Linked DNA regions of Arabidopsis thaliana. The protein of the gene in region 1 interacts with the protein of each later gene in a pairwise test. Each region holds a gene or a part of one and is shown in the gene's direction. Other genes may lie near its edges. The genes, in order: MEKK1, RACK1B_AT and RACK1C_AT.

Evidence for each region.
Region 2: the proteins of MEKK1 (region 1) and RACK1B_AT come close enough for resonance energy transfer, tested with the Arabidopsis thaliana proteins (one study listed by BioGRID).
Region 3: the proteins of MEKK1 (region 1) and RACK1C_AT come close enough for resonance energy transfer, tested with the Arabidopsis thaliana proteins (one study listed by BioGRID).

What each region holds. Positions count from the first base shown.
Region 1 is NC_003075.7:5,402,704-5,409,095, reverse strand, and holds MEKK1 (MAPK/ERK kinase kinase 1), read left to right. Parts: upstream 1-1,775; 5' UTR 1,776-2,033; coding exon 2,034-3,091; intron 3,092-3,264; coding exon 3,265-3,349; intron 3,350-3,482; coding exon 3,483-3,545; intron 3,546-3,632; coding exon 3,633-3,790; intron 3,791-3,892; coding exon 3,893-3,965; intron 3,966-4,063; coding exon 4,064-4,123; intron 4,124-4,378; coding exon 4,379-4,492; intron 4,493-4,608; coding exon 4,609-4,824; 3' UTR 4,825-4,852; intron 4,853-4,947; 3' UTR 4,948-5,425; downstream 5,426-6,392.
Region 2 is NC_003070.9:17,980,919-17,985,410, reverse strand, and holds RACK1B_AT (receptor for activated C kinase 1B), read left to right. Parts: upstream 1-2,033; 5' UTR 2,034-2,142; coding exon 2,143-3,021; intron 3,022-3,332; coding exon 3,333-3,434; 3' UTR 3,435-3,775; downstream 3,776-4,492. Other genes in the region: PEX3 (peroxin 3), read right to left, coding at 1-20, 108-235, 301-337, 442-512, 620-750, 824-1,014, 1,105-1,266, 1,447-1,460.
Region 3 is NC_003074.8:6,209,927-6,214,347, reverse strand, and holds RACK1C_AT (receptor for activated C kinase 1C), read left to right. Parts: upstream 1-1,796; 5' UTR 1,797-1,976; coding exon 1,977-2,855; intron 2,856-3,137; coding exon 3,138-3,239; 3' UTR 3,240-3,470; downstream 3,471-4,421. Other genes in the region: LST8-1 (Transducin/WD40 repeat-like superfamily protein), read left to right, coding at 1-74, 162-274, 429-498, 673-750, 821-937, 1,037-1,119, 1,200-1,279, 1,359-1,418 and 1 more; AT3G18120 (F-box associated ubiquitination effector family protein), read left to right, coding at 3,776-4,258. UniProt on the Arabidopsis thaliana protein: Minor component of the RACK1 regulatory proteins that play a role in multiple signal transduction pathways. Involved in multiple hormone responses and developmental processes.

The sequences.
Region 1 (6,392 bases):
CAATTATTAATAAGTATTTTTACCAAATATTAATTGAATTTTAGCCTAAATAGTTAATCAACATTAATATTTCATTAACATGGTACCAAATTGCCTAATTATAATGTCAATGTGTCTGAATTTTAAATATATTACCAAATTATACATTAAAATATTAATATTTTGTTATAGTATTTATTTGAATAAAGAAATTTAGTATTTTCTTCCTATAAAAGGATGACTAGGAGACAAATTTTTAGATTTTTAAAATAAAAGGCTGACTCTTCCAGAACTAAATATAGATATATTATTTATTAATTAAAGGTTACTAAAGTGAAGTCTAAGTGATTTGGTTTAAGAATTTTTGTTTAGAATTTACAATTTTCAGTTTAGTTTTAGATAATTTTGTTAATTGGATATTGACATTTTGTTTGTAGCCAGAAGTTGTTGTTTTTAAAAGAAAAGCTTTATTTTTGCTACCCAATAATGATGAGAAGAGATTACATAAACAAATTAAAATCAATACATGATACGAACTAATCTAGCTAAACGATTTACTCAATAACTTCACCCAATTCGTTTCGAAATCTAAGCAATATATCCCTCAAAAAATCATAACTAACATAACCAACATAAGTGTTTCCAATTTTGAGCGAATGAGAACAAACTTCTTCCCTGACACTTAACTCTTCGTAAGATGATTAAAATAATATATGATTATTGCTTCTTCACACACACGATCTCTAAAGCAATTTACCCATTAAATCTTTATATCTATATATAAAAATAAGTTTGATACATTACTATGCTCTTTGATGGGCAAAAGTAAAAAAAAATTGCTTTGATTTTGTAGACGAGTTTTGGGCATGCAATTTTTATTTACATCTTTTCAACAAAAACAATTAAACAAAACAAAATTTTGCTTAGACATTGTCCATGTTAAAGTTCAAAAATTGTACGAAAAGTAAGCGGTAGAAAATTTTGCTCTATTTAGGTTTATCGAAGTAATCTTTCTATTTGTTATATGTTGTATAATTTATAGTAATATGTTTATTTAGTTACAATCTTTTCGTAGGTTAACTATATTACTTCTAACTTTTGTATGTTTAACAGATTTTTTATTTACCTCTATCAAAACCCTGCAAAACACACAATCAAACTCGCAATACTCTACTACATCGATTAACTAATCCACGACACTTATTTTCTTTTGTACTTAAAAGTTAAAAATATATTAACACGTCCTATAGTAAAGCGGTGTATGCCTCGTCCACGGATTCTAAAGTTTACACATGTTTTAAGTTTAACACCTTAAAACCATCTAAACTCTACTTTTTAAAAGGGTTTTATGCAAAAAAATCCTCAAACTCGTCTATTTTTACAACTTTATTCTTCAGATCCAAAAAATGCAAAATATCATATGAATTTCAAAATAATACACAATATAGATTTTTCGTTACTATCAAATTTTAAAATTTTGATAAATAATATATTAAATCGGAACCTCGAGATGAAGAGTTCAAGTATATCTTTAAAAGTTTTAAAAACAAATGTATGTAATCGTGAAAACATTTACAATATATATAAAATTGCAAAATAGGCTATTTTAGATTTCATAAGATTATTTTGTATTTTTTAAAACAACAAACTCAAGTCTACATAATTAATATATTCAACTCAAAACTCCAAACTGAAAGCTTAAGAAGCCCAACAATTGTAAGCCCAATTAAAAAGCCCAGTAAGTGAACGCGTAAACAAAAAAAGTAAAGACTCTCATGGAACAATCAAAAACGCCGAAACAATGCTTCGTCTCCGATTATTCCACGAAACACCGCGTTTTTGTTTACATTTCTTCTCTTTCTCTCTCTCTCTTCTCTCATATCTCTCTCTTCGCCGTCAGGTTTTGCCCAAATTTCTCGGTCTTCTTCACTCCCGCGAGTTTTTTTTCTCGGGAAAATTTTCCAATTCCAAGCTCCATTGAAGCCAAGTAAGAGGTGCGATTCTCTTCAATTTTGACTTGGAACTTGTAAATAGCGTATGGATTTGAGCTGGTTATGGACAGAATTCTAGCTCGTATGAAGAAATCAACTGGACGAAGAGGAGGAGATAAGAATATTACTCCGGTACGGCGGTTAGAGCGTCGCGATGCGGCGAGGAATATCAATTACGACGCAGCTTCATGTTCTAGTTCGTCAGCTGAAGATCTTTCCGTTTCGACTTCTTCGTTGATGACTCGCTCTTTGGAGTTTCCGGAGCCTACTAGTTTCCGAATCGGTGGTGGTGTTGGAGAGATGGATCGGATTTATCGGTCTCTTGGTGTTTCTGGTCCTGATGATTTGGCTATTTCTTTTGATGCTTGGGAAGCTTGTAAGAAACGTTCTTCTTCAGATGTTGTTAATAGGTTTAAGTCTTTTGATCTTGATAAGGTTCGTGATCAGGATTTGAGTGAAGAAGGTCCTAGTGGTGTTGTTGTTGGTTCTGATTCAATGAATCATAAGGTTCAGGGTCAGGATTTGAGTGAAGCAGGTCCTAGTGGTGGAATTGTTACTGAGTTGAGTGAGATTGGGAATTTAATCACTCCTGTGGATAGGTTAGTAGCTGATGGTGTGGTAGAGAATAGGCGTGTTATGGAAAGAACACCAACTATTGTGAAGTCGAAAGGGTATCTTGTACCAAATAATGTAGTGGCTGTTGGTGTTGGTGTTGGTGGTGGTATTAAGGGGCTAAGACCACCAGTACTTAAGCCTCCTCCGGCTATGAAACGACCCCCTATTGATCATCGGGGATCGTCTTGGGATTTCCTGACGCATTTCGCTCCAAGTGAAACAGTTAAGCGGCCGAGTTCCTCTTCTTCTTCTTCCGAGGATGGATGCGATGAAGAGGAAGGCAAGGAAGAGGAAGCGGAAGCGGAAGAGATGGGAGCTAGGTTTATCCAGTTGGGGGATACGGCTGACGAGACGTGCTCATTCACTACAAATGAGGGTGACTCCTCAAGCACAGTATCCAATACTTCGCCTATCTATCCAGATGGAGGAGCTATCATAACGTCTTGGCAAAAGGGTCAACTTTTGGGACGAGGATCATTTGGTTCTGTGTATGAAGGCATTTCTGGGTAAGTCTTACTGGTTGCTTGTGTTTGTTGAACTTGAAATCAGATACTTAGTCGCATGATGTTTTAAAAAAGTAGACACTCAATGAGGAATACTACAGTAGTCGGCTGACAAATGTGGTCCAAACGAGTCTTCCATTATGCGTTTGGCTAATGGATGTTTATGTTATATGTAGAGATGGGGACTTCTTTGCTGTCAAGGAAGTTTCACTTCTTGATCAGGGAAGTCAGGCACAAGAATGCATACAACAACTTGAGGGGGTATGGAAATGGAAGTTTCATATACATGGGTCAATGATCCGTAGCATTTATCACTTCTGTCATTATCTCATGGAGCAGTCAAAAGTAGGTTGCTAATCCACCTTACCTTTGCCATATTTTTCATTTTCTACAGGAGATTAAACTACTTAGTCAGCTTCAGCATCAGAATATTGTGAGATATCGTGGCACAGCCAAGGTGTGGTCCTGTTCTCTCTTTCTTTTTCTTAGTTGCAGTTGCCTAACTATTTCATTGTGCAATAATAACTCATTTCGCTGTTTTCAGGATGGGTCAAACTTGTACATTTTTCTTGAGCTTGTAACCCAAGGGTCCCTTCTAAAACTCTACCAAAGATACCAGCTTCGGGACTCTGTAGTCTCCTTGTACACTAGACAGATTCTTGACGGTTTGAAATATCTCCACGATAAAGGTTTTATTCACAGGTTAGACTAGTAAACTCTCTTGGTACAGCTGTAATTCCCAAGCATCTATCTAATTTCCTGCATCTCATGGGTTACTTATTTTTATCATTTTATGCAACAAAGGGACATCAAATGTGCAAATATATTGGTGGACGCTAATGGCGCCGTCAAACTTGCAGATTTTGGATTGGCAAAGGTTTTTTTCCATAAATAGATATTTATAGCTTTGCTCTAAAGTAATTACTTGGTCCATCGTTTAGTACCCTGATATGTTTGTCATTTTTTTTTATTTAGGTTTCAAAGTTTAACGACATTAAGTCCTGCAAGGGAACTCCATTTTGGATGGCTCCAGAGGTATGGTTTTGGGAAACTTTCCCAGTGATTTACATTAATAGAAATGTTCTGGTCTGGGCTTTATAACCTCAAAAACTCCTGGTTATGTTTGCTTCAAATATTTGGTGAAATTTTCTTTATATCAGTTAATGGTTTTTGATAATTGTAAGTATGTATGTTAATCGTACGTAACAGATGTGGATTCATTTCACTTTCATTGTACTTGAGGCTATACTTGTATGGTTATATCTAAATAGAACATAATCATTTGATCAGGTTATTAACCGAAAGGATAGTGATGGCTATGGAAGTCCAGCTGATATATGGAGCCTCGGGTGCACTGTGCTGGAAATGTGTACTGGTCAGATCCCCTACTCTGATCTCGAACCCGTAAGTCTTCAAGATTTTCAAACTTTTGAACTGTCTTAATAATCTTAAACGACATTTGAAGTGTCTACTTTATGGGATTTTATGAGTTAAAAGTCAGAATTTGTGCAAACGCGCAGGTTCAAGCCCTGTTTAGGATCGGAAGGGGTACTCTTCCGGAAGTACCTGATACGTTATCACTAGATGCTCGGCTTTTCATACTTAAGTGTCTTAAAGTGAACCCGGAAGAGCGGCCAACTGCAGCTGAACTGCTGAACCATCCATTTGTGAGAAGACCCTTACCATCCGTGGGTTCAGGAGGCTCGGGATCAGCATCTCCCCTTCTCCGTAGATGAGGCTAATTTTAGTAAATTTCCTCAATAGGTGAAGTATTTAGTTGCTTTTTTCATGAGGATATTATCAGAATCAACAAAAGCTATATATTCTTCTAACATTGATGTCCTAATGTACAAAAGCAGGCATAACCCGAAGATTTATGAGAGATTAGATCCCAGAGAAACTATTGGGAGACACGAGACATGATTCTTCGACACACACACACGTGCGGTCGGGTTGCGCAGCAAGAGCCAAACTTACTTAGTTTCTGTGTCATTCGTTGGTTATTTGTTGCAAGTTATGTGTTGGGCTTGATTTTAAAACTGAAGAGCCTTATTTTTCTAGGAATTAGAAATGTCGACCTTGGGGTTTTTGGGTGTATAGGTTTTGTTTAGTTTTTTTTGTTAAATTATAGTGTATGTATGTCTGTATCTATATCATGTAATGTATAATTATAGTTGGTTCTTATAGTTCCTGGCTTGTTGTAACTGTGTACACACATCGATGGGTTTAAGTTCTATTTGTCTCATATTTTAAAGAAATCTGCTGCTCTAATCATCTATTAAAAAGTATAGTCAAGATATTTTCTATAATTCAGGTCAAAGCCACTTTAATTGAAGTCTATATAATTCAACTTGTTTTTTTTTCTTTTACAATATTGCCCGTTGAAAAGTTATTGGAAATGATGGATTTATAAAAAAATTCAAAAGTGACCAAAAAAAAAGATAATCGAAAGAATTTTGGCTTTGACCATTTTCAACGGGGATCTAAATGCCAGGAAAAAAAATACACAAGATACCTATACTTGGGATTATACCAAGTTTGGAGTACGACTAGATAGAATATTTGTTAGATTCGCTTTGATCCGTTATTCTACTCAATTTAATTATAATTTTCTAATCACCTAATTAATTATTTGAACTACTAGTTTTAACATTGAAAAGAGAAATATAAAATATTACTATTTTTGATAAAATTTTACTATTTTTGGATTAAATTTTATATTTTTATATTTTTTTAAAATAAATATTTAACAAATCCGATATATGATAATTAAATGGTTTAGATTTTAACGGATATTCAAAACCACCGAATATTTGGTCTCTCTCAAAGCAAATACAAAAAAAAAAAAATAAGTATTCTGATAAAGCAAATCGAATCACAAACAACACCAAAATCCCGGATATCTGCTCTCTGCTCAGCCCTAATTCGGAGGCTATACTGTCAATTCTGGATATTGGGTGCTCACACAGGTTATACAAAACAAGAATAGTCTCCAAGAGGTTTCATAGCCAAGTCTAACCCTATTTTGACTCTTTACGTTATTTCTCGTGTCTTTTTAGTGTCTTTTCAGGTATTTTATGCAATAAGACAATATTGGAGATAAGGAAACATTTTGTAGCAAAAACTAACGAAAAGGAAGCTAAGGACGACTTTGGTTCAAGAATCAGCAACGAGTGTCGACCGACACACTCTTGGTGTCGATCGACACTAGTTTCGGCCCAGCAAAAACCCTAGACGCTTTCGAGTTTCCAGAAGCTCAACTTTGTCCCAGAAGATTTCCCTATTTGCATTATTAGTCCCTGGA
Region 2 (4,492 bases), on another chromosome or scaffold:
TTACATCCTTTAACTGCTTTCTGCAATTAAACACACAAAAACATATTAGAGTTTTTCCAACAATAGTCAAATTATAAACGATCTAGATACGAATTTTTGCAATGTACCCTTTAAGGACTTCCTCGGCTGAACCCTGCATATCTGAAATCAAACTTGGCATTGCATTGGTGACAAGAAAATCAGCACTCGACAAAAACTTCTGTTCATCATCTCTATCAATGAGATCTACCTCTTCCTGCAAACAAAAAGAAACAAATTTAATAGATACACTGTTGAAAGCTCACAGGGCAAGCAGATCACAGGACAAGCGGCCGTGGCTTTAAAAGGTAATCTGGAACTATATCAAAGAAAGATAGGTGATTCCAGAGTATTAGTCCACAGATAGGTCAAATGCATAATCGTTATCGCAATTAAACACAGCTACTAGAGACATAATTATACAAGTTCTTAACAGAACAACCAGTGAGTTTCCCCGAGAAATAGCTTGTTGGGGATGAGATAAGCAAAGTACACTGAATCATACTTGCGAGCAAATGAGAGCAGTAAAGAACATGTGCAGTATCGTTTAATAAACAGCAAATTCTCCAATACAGAGAAGAGGGGAAGCATATTATCTTACAAGTAAATGAGAGCTGCCAAGAGCTCGAGCGGTGTCAACATACAAATGTCTGCCTAAAATGTTGACTTGAACCCTAATGTATAAGCTAAGCATTGTCACAGACCACAGAGACAAAACCATCCTCGTGAAACCTGGCAAATAACATGAATATACAGGTAAGAAACAGAATTTGATAGAGTAAGAGTAGGTGACTGCAGTGCATACTCAAAATCTTGAGCTCATCCCAGAGCTGAAGTTTCTCAGGTGGACTCAGCATTCCTTTCCCTTGGTTCAGTCTGTCCATAACATGAGAGACATCGATCTCCTCGCTGATACGGATACTCAAAAACTGCATTGCGTGAGGCAGTGTGGTCGAATCCACAATCATCTGAATACTCTCGAAATGTGCTTTCATTCTAAACAAGAGTACAAACAAGACAGGTCCGTTAGAGAATCCATAAGAACTGAAGTCTAAAGGATCAGTTTTTATGAGCACAGAACTTAACTGGGTTTTGATGATTTCGTCATTTTCACGCTCGTGAGCGAGTTCTCGTTCCAAATCAGCAAGCCTACGAGTATGGGAATTGTATAGTTTGTAGAGTAAATACCCACTTCCCAAACAACCAGCCGTCACCAAGACCTTCCTTCTATGCTTCCTCCAAAAACCCCTAATTTATTCCACAAGGTATTGAATCAATTAAAAACCCTAACTTTATTCACCAAAAACCCTTCCTAAGGAATTGGAATTAGTGTGCTAGAGAGAGAGAGATAGAGAACGCAAAACACTAAATTTCGAATTTTCACGAAAACAGTAAGCAATTACAAAGAAAGATGAAGCGAACAAGAACCTAACGAAATCCATGGCTGGTGAAGCTTTTACTGAAGTCGAACCCAGAGATACATAGCTGAGAAAACACGTAGAAAGATGAAGATTCCCGAATTGATTCGTTCGGTTTGAAAAGGAGATAACTTTGCAGGCGAGAGAAAGAGATGGTTGATGTGATCGATTTCAATTTAATCAATCACTTCATCTTTTTCTTCTCCGGAATTCGGACATGTAAAATTATATCTTCCACAGGGACAGTCGAAGTTGTGTTCTTAGTTCTTACAATAAAAGTTGAAATGGCCAAACTCGGTTTGTTTACTTTAATTGAACCGACTTTTGAGTCTATTTCAATTTTTGACAATAACTTCTCGGTAGAGTTCTCATGGGGTTTGCCCAAAAGAGAGAAAAAAAAGTTGTCATGTCATGTACTCATGTGGTTATCAAATTGACTTGTAACAAGCTATACCAATTCTGGTTAAGCGTTCCAAACAGAAAGATATAAATCTCGGTTCCATAATTGTCCCAACATGAAACCAAGTTGGGTAGAATACCGGGCCTTAATGCTGGCCCAAATGAAGAGACCCAAACTATTGACAAATGAAAACAAAGAACCCTAATTATCTCTAACTATAAATACTCTCGGTTTCTCGTTACCTCCATTTTGCCCTCTCCCATTTTTGTCGCCGAAACCCTAAATCTCGACCTCAAACCCTGAACCATGGCTGAAGGACTCGTGTTGAAAGGCACAATGTGTGCCCACACTGATATGGTCACCGCCATTGCTACACCGGTCGATAACTCCGACGTGATTGTAACTTCGTCGCGTGACAAATCAATCATCCTCTGGAAACTCACAAAGGAAGACAAGTCATACGGTGTTGCTCAGCGGAGGATGACTGGTCACTCTCACTTCGTTCAAGACGTTGTTCTCTCCTCCGATGGACAATTCGCTCTCTCCGGATCTTGGGACGGTGAGCTTCGTCTCTGGGATCTCGCTACCGGAGAATCTACTCGTCGTTTCGTTGGTCACACGAAAGATGTTCTCTCTGTTGCTTTCTCTACCGATAACCGTCAGATCGTCTCTGCTTCTCGTGATCGTACGATTAAGCTTTGGAACACGCTTGGTGAGTGTAAGTATACCATCTCTGAAGCTGATGGTCACAAGGAATGGGTTAGTTGTGTTAGGTTTAGTCCTAATACTCTTGTGCCAACTATTGTATCTGCTTCTTGGGATAAAACTGTGAAGGTCTGGAATCTTCAGAATTGTAAGCTTAGGAACACTCTTGCTGGTCACTCTGGTTACTTGAACACTGTGGCTGTGTCACCTGATGGTTCGTTGTGTGCCAGTGGTGGCAAAGATGGTGTGATCTTGCTTTGGGATTTGGCTGAAGGGAAGAAGTTGTATTCTCTTGAAGCTGGCTCTATTATTCATTCACTTTGCTTCAGTCCCAATAGGTACTGGTTGTGTGCAGCAACAGAGAATAGCATTAGGATTTGGGATCTCGAGAGTAAGTCTGTTGTTGAGGATTTGAAGGTTGATCTTAAGGCTGAGGCTGAAAAGACTGATGGTTCTACTGGAATCGGAAACAAGACCAAGGTATCTATTTCTCCTCACTCTATCTTATGGTTAATTGTCTAGTTCTAAGTTCTGTGAATTAGTTAGCCGTTGCCTTAAAAGATGAGATTTTCATAAAGGAAGGTCTGAATACTCTCATGTGAAGTTAGTTCACAAGATTTGATTGGTACGTAAGAGAGTAGCTAACATTAGATTGAGAAACCTGGTTTTAAGTTAGCTCTAGTCTCTGATTTCTTAGATTGTAGTGTCTGAAGTGATTCCATATTGATTTGTTGGTTACTCTTTGGTCTGAGGTGGTTTATATATGTTCTAATGTGGAATGTAAAATGCAGGTGATCTACTGCACAAGCTTGAACTGGAGTGCAGATGGAAACACTTTGTTCAGTGGATACACTGATGGAGTTATCAGGGTTTGGGGTATTGGTCGTTACTAGAGAGACAAGAAGTTTCTTTATTCTCTCCAAATTTTTCCATCGACTCTAAAGTCTTCTCTTCTGAATTAGTGTTTTGAGGATTTATTTTTTGTTCTTTTCTATTTTCAGAATCCACAAATGTGATATTTTGATACATTGATTTTGTTTCATATTTGTTTTCTTACACTGAGTCTGAGTACACGGCGTAGAATCTGATTTGAAGTTGTTACTTGTATCCTCTAGAAAGTAGAAATGGCTTTAGGTTGATGACTAACTGTATAACAGCAAGAATTTTTTCTTAGGAATCTGAAAACTTCAAGGAGTTATTAGCCTTTACTTTTCCAGTGGTTACATCTTAACTACAACACGAACCCTTTCAAAAGAATCTCTAAACACCAATGCACCAACCAGTTTATCTTTTTGTACTTAATGATATTTGGTTTTCCATCTCTTACTCTACCAAAACTAAGAGTAGTCTAAAGTGTAGGCGACAAGGCCATATGTTATACGAATTCTCAGTTAACATGAACCGAATATAGCCCATATAGAATAGTTCTTGACCCAGACGCTTACCTCCATACGGCACAGAGTCTCTGATAAATGGGTCTTATTAGCATTAATTTTGTGTGTAGCCAAAGGTTGAAACTTGAGAACTTCTTCATGCTCAAAAACACCAAATGAGGTAAACCATGCACGAGTCAATAGTCAATAATCAAAAGTGCAATCAAGATTGTTTTCACTGCTTTTCCGAAGAAACCAAGACCCCCTATGACATGTTTCAGCATCATAAGCCGCTCAACAAAGCAATGCTTAATTGCTCTGTAAAATTTTTCATATTTCTTATCTTTTAGATATTCTACACCCAATACCCAAGTCCACGTATATAACAAGATCTTAATTAGGCTCCGTAGGCTTCGACAACATGTCCATTTTATATCATGCTTTTTTTTGTAGTCCAAATAAGCTAAGGTTGATCAAGAATGGAACATCAAACTACTAAAACTATAGATCGTTTAGCTCTGCATGATTTAGAGAAACCGCAGCAAAACTATTTCTATCGTCATTAGATGATATAATAC
Region 3 (4,421 bases), on another chromosome or scaffold:
ATAAGCATTATCTAGCTGCAGCTTGCAATCCTCATATTCGACTCTTTGATGTCAATTCCAATAGTCCTCAACCTGTAAAACTCCTCTCTTTTTTTCTCAATGTGGTGTTTGCTTCCTTCTACCTGCTTGAGTGATCTTGATGGAGTCGTCGTGTGTATTAGGTGATGACTTACGATTCACACACCAACAATGTTATGGCAGTAGGATTTCAATGTGATGCAAAATGGATGTATTCAGGATCAGAAGATGGCACAGTTAAGATCTGGGACTTAAGGTATATCATGTCATCTTCATCTTTAGCTAAAAGTTTATAGATTTATTCAAGTGTGGATTCTGGGAAAGGATAAGGAGATATTGAATATAAAGTTACGAAAAATACTAAGAACGTTCTAAATTGTATTCTTGTTGACTCGTAAACCAAAATGCAGGGCTCCGGGTTGCCAAAAGGAGTATGAAAGTGTTGCAGCGGTTAATACAGTTGTTTTACACCCAAATCAGGTACATGAAGTCATCTGTTATTGTTGTGCTGTGGGAATCAGCTTCGTTTTATGTTTAAGAGAGTTGTTGTATTGCTACTGTTGAAACTGCTGTGATTTTGGTAGTTGTCTCAGCTGTTATTATGAACTATTTCCTTAGTCTTTATTATGAACTTTGTTTTTTTTTTTTGTACAGACTGAATTGATATCTGGAGACCAAAATGGAAATATACGTGTATGGGATCTCAGAGCAAATTCGTGTAGCTGTGAACTGGTAATTGCCTTTGACACGTCTTCATTTCATTTCTGAAAATCCGTAGATAATCACTTGAGGTTAACTATAGGTACCAGAAGTTGATACAGCTGTACGGTCTTTAACTGTTATGTGGGATGGGACAATGGTAGTCGCTGCTAACAACCGTGGAACATGTTATGTATGGCGCTTGTTGCGTGGAAAACAGGTAGTGTTCCTGATATGCAAACCTTTCTTTTGTTTAACCATGTTGTAGTCGCATTACTCTAATTGTCCATGCCATTTAAAAATTCAAAATCTTTTACAGACAATGACAGAGTTTGAGCCCCTTCATAAGCTGCAAGCTCATAATGGCCACATCCTTAAATGTCTCCTCTCTCCTGCAAACAAGTAACATGTTTCTTATACTTTCTCTTTTAACCGTTTTCTTCATCCTCTCCTTTTCGAAGCTCTTACATATTTGTTAGCAGATATCTAGCGACTGCATCATCTGATAAAACTGTCAAAATATGGAACGTCGATGGTTTTAAACTAGAGAAAGTTTTAACAGGTATGTTCTCCATGTTACTGTCAACAGCATTCATTCTCCATTATCGTCTCTTACACTATCATCAAATCTTATATAACAGGACATCAAAGATGGGTTTGGGACTGCGTCTTCTCAGTGGATGGAGAATTTCTTGTAACAGGTACTAATCTCTGTCTTAACTTAAACCACTGAAAAACATATCAGAACAATCTTTAAACGGGTTTCTATGATGTTGTACAGCATCATCGGACATGACGGCTAGATTGTGGTCGATGCCAGCAGGCAAAGAAGTGAAAGTGTACCAAGGTCATCACAAAGCCACTGTGTGCTGTGCACTTCACGATTAAAACCTTAATAAGAATCAAAGCTAAATTATGAACAAACTACGATTGTGTTATTTGTGTTTTAGTAAACTCTTGTACATTTCAATCGAATTCGTTCAAATTGCTCTTATGTTCCCTCTCTGATCAAACATTTCTCAACTATATCACAACAAAAATGCTCCAACAAAATTTATTTCAGAAGAGGCCCATTTATACCTGACTCGGAAACTCCGGCCCAAATGAGCCAGTCTCCTCGCAGAAACCACACTAAACCCTAATTTGATTCATTTTTAGACCTAGAGTATAAATACCAAACATTTCAATCGACCTCGTAATCTCTCGCTCTGTTACGCCATTTTCGTGAGTAAGAAGAAGAAACCCGAAAACCTCAAACCATGGCCGAGGGACTCGTATTGAAGGGCATTATGCGCGCCCACACCGACATTGTCACGGCCATCGCTACGCCGATCGACAATTCCGACATCATCGTCACAGCGTCGCGTGACAAATCCATCATCCTCTGGAAACTCACAAAGGACGATAAGTCTTACGGTGTTGCTCAGCGTAGGCTCACAGGTCACTCTCACTTCGTGGAAGATGTTGTTCTCTCATCGGACGGTCAGTTTGCACTCTCCGGAAGCTGGGACGGTGAGCTCCGTCTCTGGGATCTTGCCACGGGAGAAACAACTCGTCGATTCGTTGGTCATACGAAAGATGTGCTCTCTGTTGCATTCTCTACTGATAACCGGCAGATCGTGTCTGCTTCTCGTGATCGTACGATTAAGCTTTGGAACACACTTGGTGAGTGTAAGTATACCATCTCTGAAGGTGATGGTCACAAGGAATGGGTTAGTTGTGTTAGGTTTAGTCCTAATACTCTTGTACCAACTATTGTATCTGCTTCTTGGGATAAAACTGTGAAAGTTTGGAATCTCCAGAACTGTAAGCTGAGGAACTCTCTTGTTGGTCACTCTGGTTACCTCAACACTGTTGCTGTCTCGCCTGATGGTTCGCTATGCGCCAGTGGTGGGAAAGATGGTGTTATCTTGTTGTGGGATTTGGCTGAAGGAAAGAAGCTTTACTCGCTTGAGGCGGGTTCGATTATTCACTCGCTTTGCTTCAGTCCTAACAGATACTGGTTGTGTGCTGCTACTGAGAATAGCATTAGGATTTGGGATCTTGAGAGCAAGTCTGTTGTTGAGGACTTGAAGGTTGATCTCAAGTCTGAGGCAGAGAAGAATGAAGGTGGTGTTGGAACTGGTAACCAGAAGAAGGTACGTCATTATCTTATGATTTCACTATAGTAATTGGTTCTCTATTGATAGGTTAGTGAATGCACCAAAAGTAGTGATGAAATTATCTTTGGTTATGACAAAAAAAAAGTGAAATTTTGGTTAGAAATTGCATGTAGGAAATCTTTTCCCTTACCCATTAGCTTTGAAACTAGGAATTTTATTCTTTAAATGTTGCTCTGCTCCAAAGGTTTTGACTTTGATGTTAACATATAGGAAGAGATTGATAATGGTATCTAATGGGAATGTGTAATGAAAATGCAGGTTATCTACTGCACAAGCTTGAACTGGAGTGCAGATGGAAGCACATTGTTCAGTGGTTACACTGATGGAGTTGTCAGGGTCTGGGGTATTGGTCGTTACTAGAGACACAACAAGATGAAGAAGAAGTCACGAAATCTCCGGAAAAAAGTTTAGCTGCTTTTAATTTTTCCAGACTGCGTCAGTATTGTATTAGTCTCTCGCAAACCTCTATTTTGGCAATTTTTGTTTAATTTCCAGAAGAGAAAAAAACAATCCATTGATTATCATATCACTATATATCAAAAGGTCACGATTTTGATTACACTTACCTTCGTGATCTTCCGATTGGTCTTATTGAGGTTCAATCTTCACAATTCATCCCTATAATATATCACTCTTATCTCTTTCACCGGCCACATTACAAGCCTATTAGATTTCTAAAGCCCATGATTGGCCCAATTCAGTTAGGGTGGGTTTCTTTGTCTTCAAATTTGTAACCACCGGAAGCAGAGGAGAGTATCTTCTGAAGCATTAACCTAACTTATTTATGATCCTTGAGATGATGATGGCCAATCTTCCAAGGGATTTAGTGAACCTTGTTACGGATACGTACAGTATGAACTCTACTACCTCAAGTCCTCAACTCCTCTAAACCACGGATGAATATTACTATCCCTAACATTAACTCTGCGAACTGGGAGATACAGTTTTCTGCACGTGGCGTGTCTCTCAAGGGAAATACTCAACAAAAGCATCTCCCTGAGTTCTTACTCTGTTATGATTTTACAAGAGAGATATTTGGACCCCCTCTAAGTCTACCGTTTCACTCTTTTAATGAAGATACTGTGACTCTATCTAGTGTTAGAGATGAGCAACTTACAGTGTTATTTGAGAGAGATGATACATTACAGATGGAGATATGGATTACGACTAAGATTGAGCCCGAAACAGCGTCGTGGAGCAAGTTGTTCTTAGCGGTGGGTATGGAACCACTAACTGGTTTGCAGTTTCAGGTTGCCGCTGGGAATTTCTTTGTTGACGAGGAGAAGAAAGTTGTCGTGTTTTTGGATAAAGACACAGAGACGCGGGAGCGCTACATAGCCTTTATCACCCACGTATCTGTTCTTATGTTCCAAGTCTAGCGCAAATCAAATGGCCACAACTTTAAGCTGAGGAACTCTCTCAACATTGTCGCTGCTTTTAGTTTATCCAATTTTTCCAAACTGGCTCTCATGTAAATCTTGTATTTTGTCAAATTTTGTTTAATTATCATCATACACTCTATCAAAAGGTCACGGATTTTGG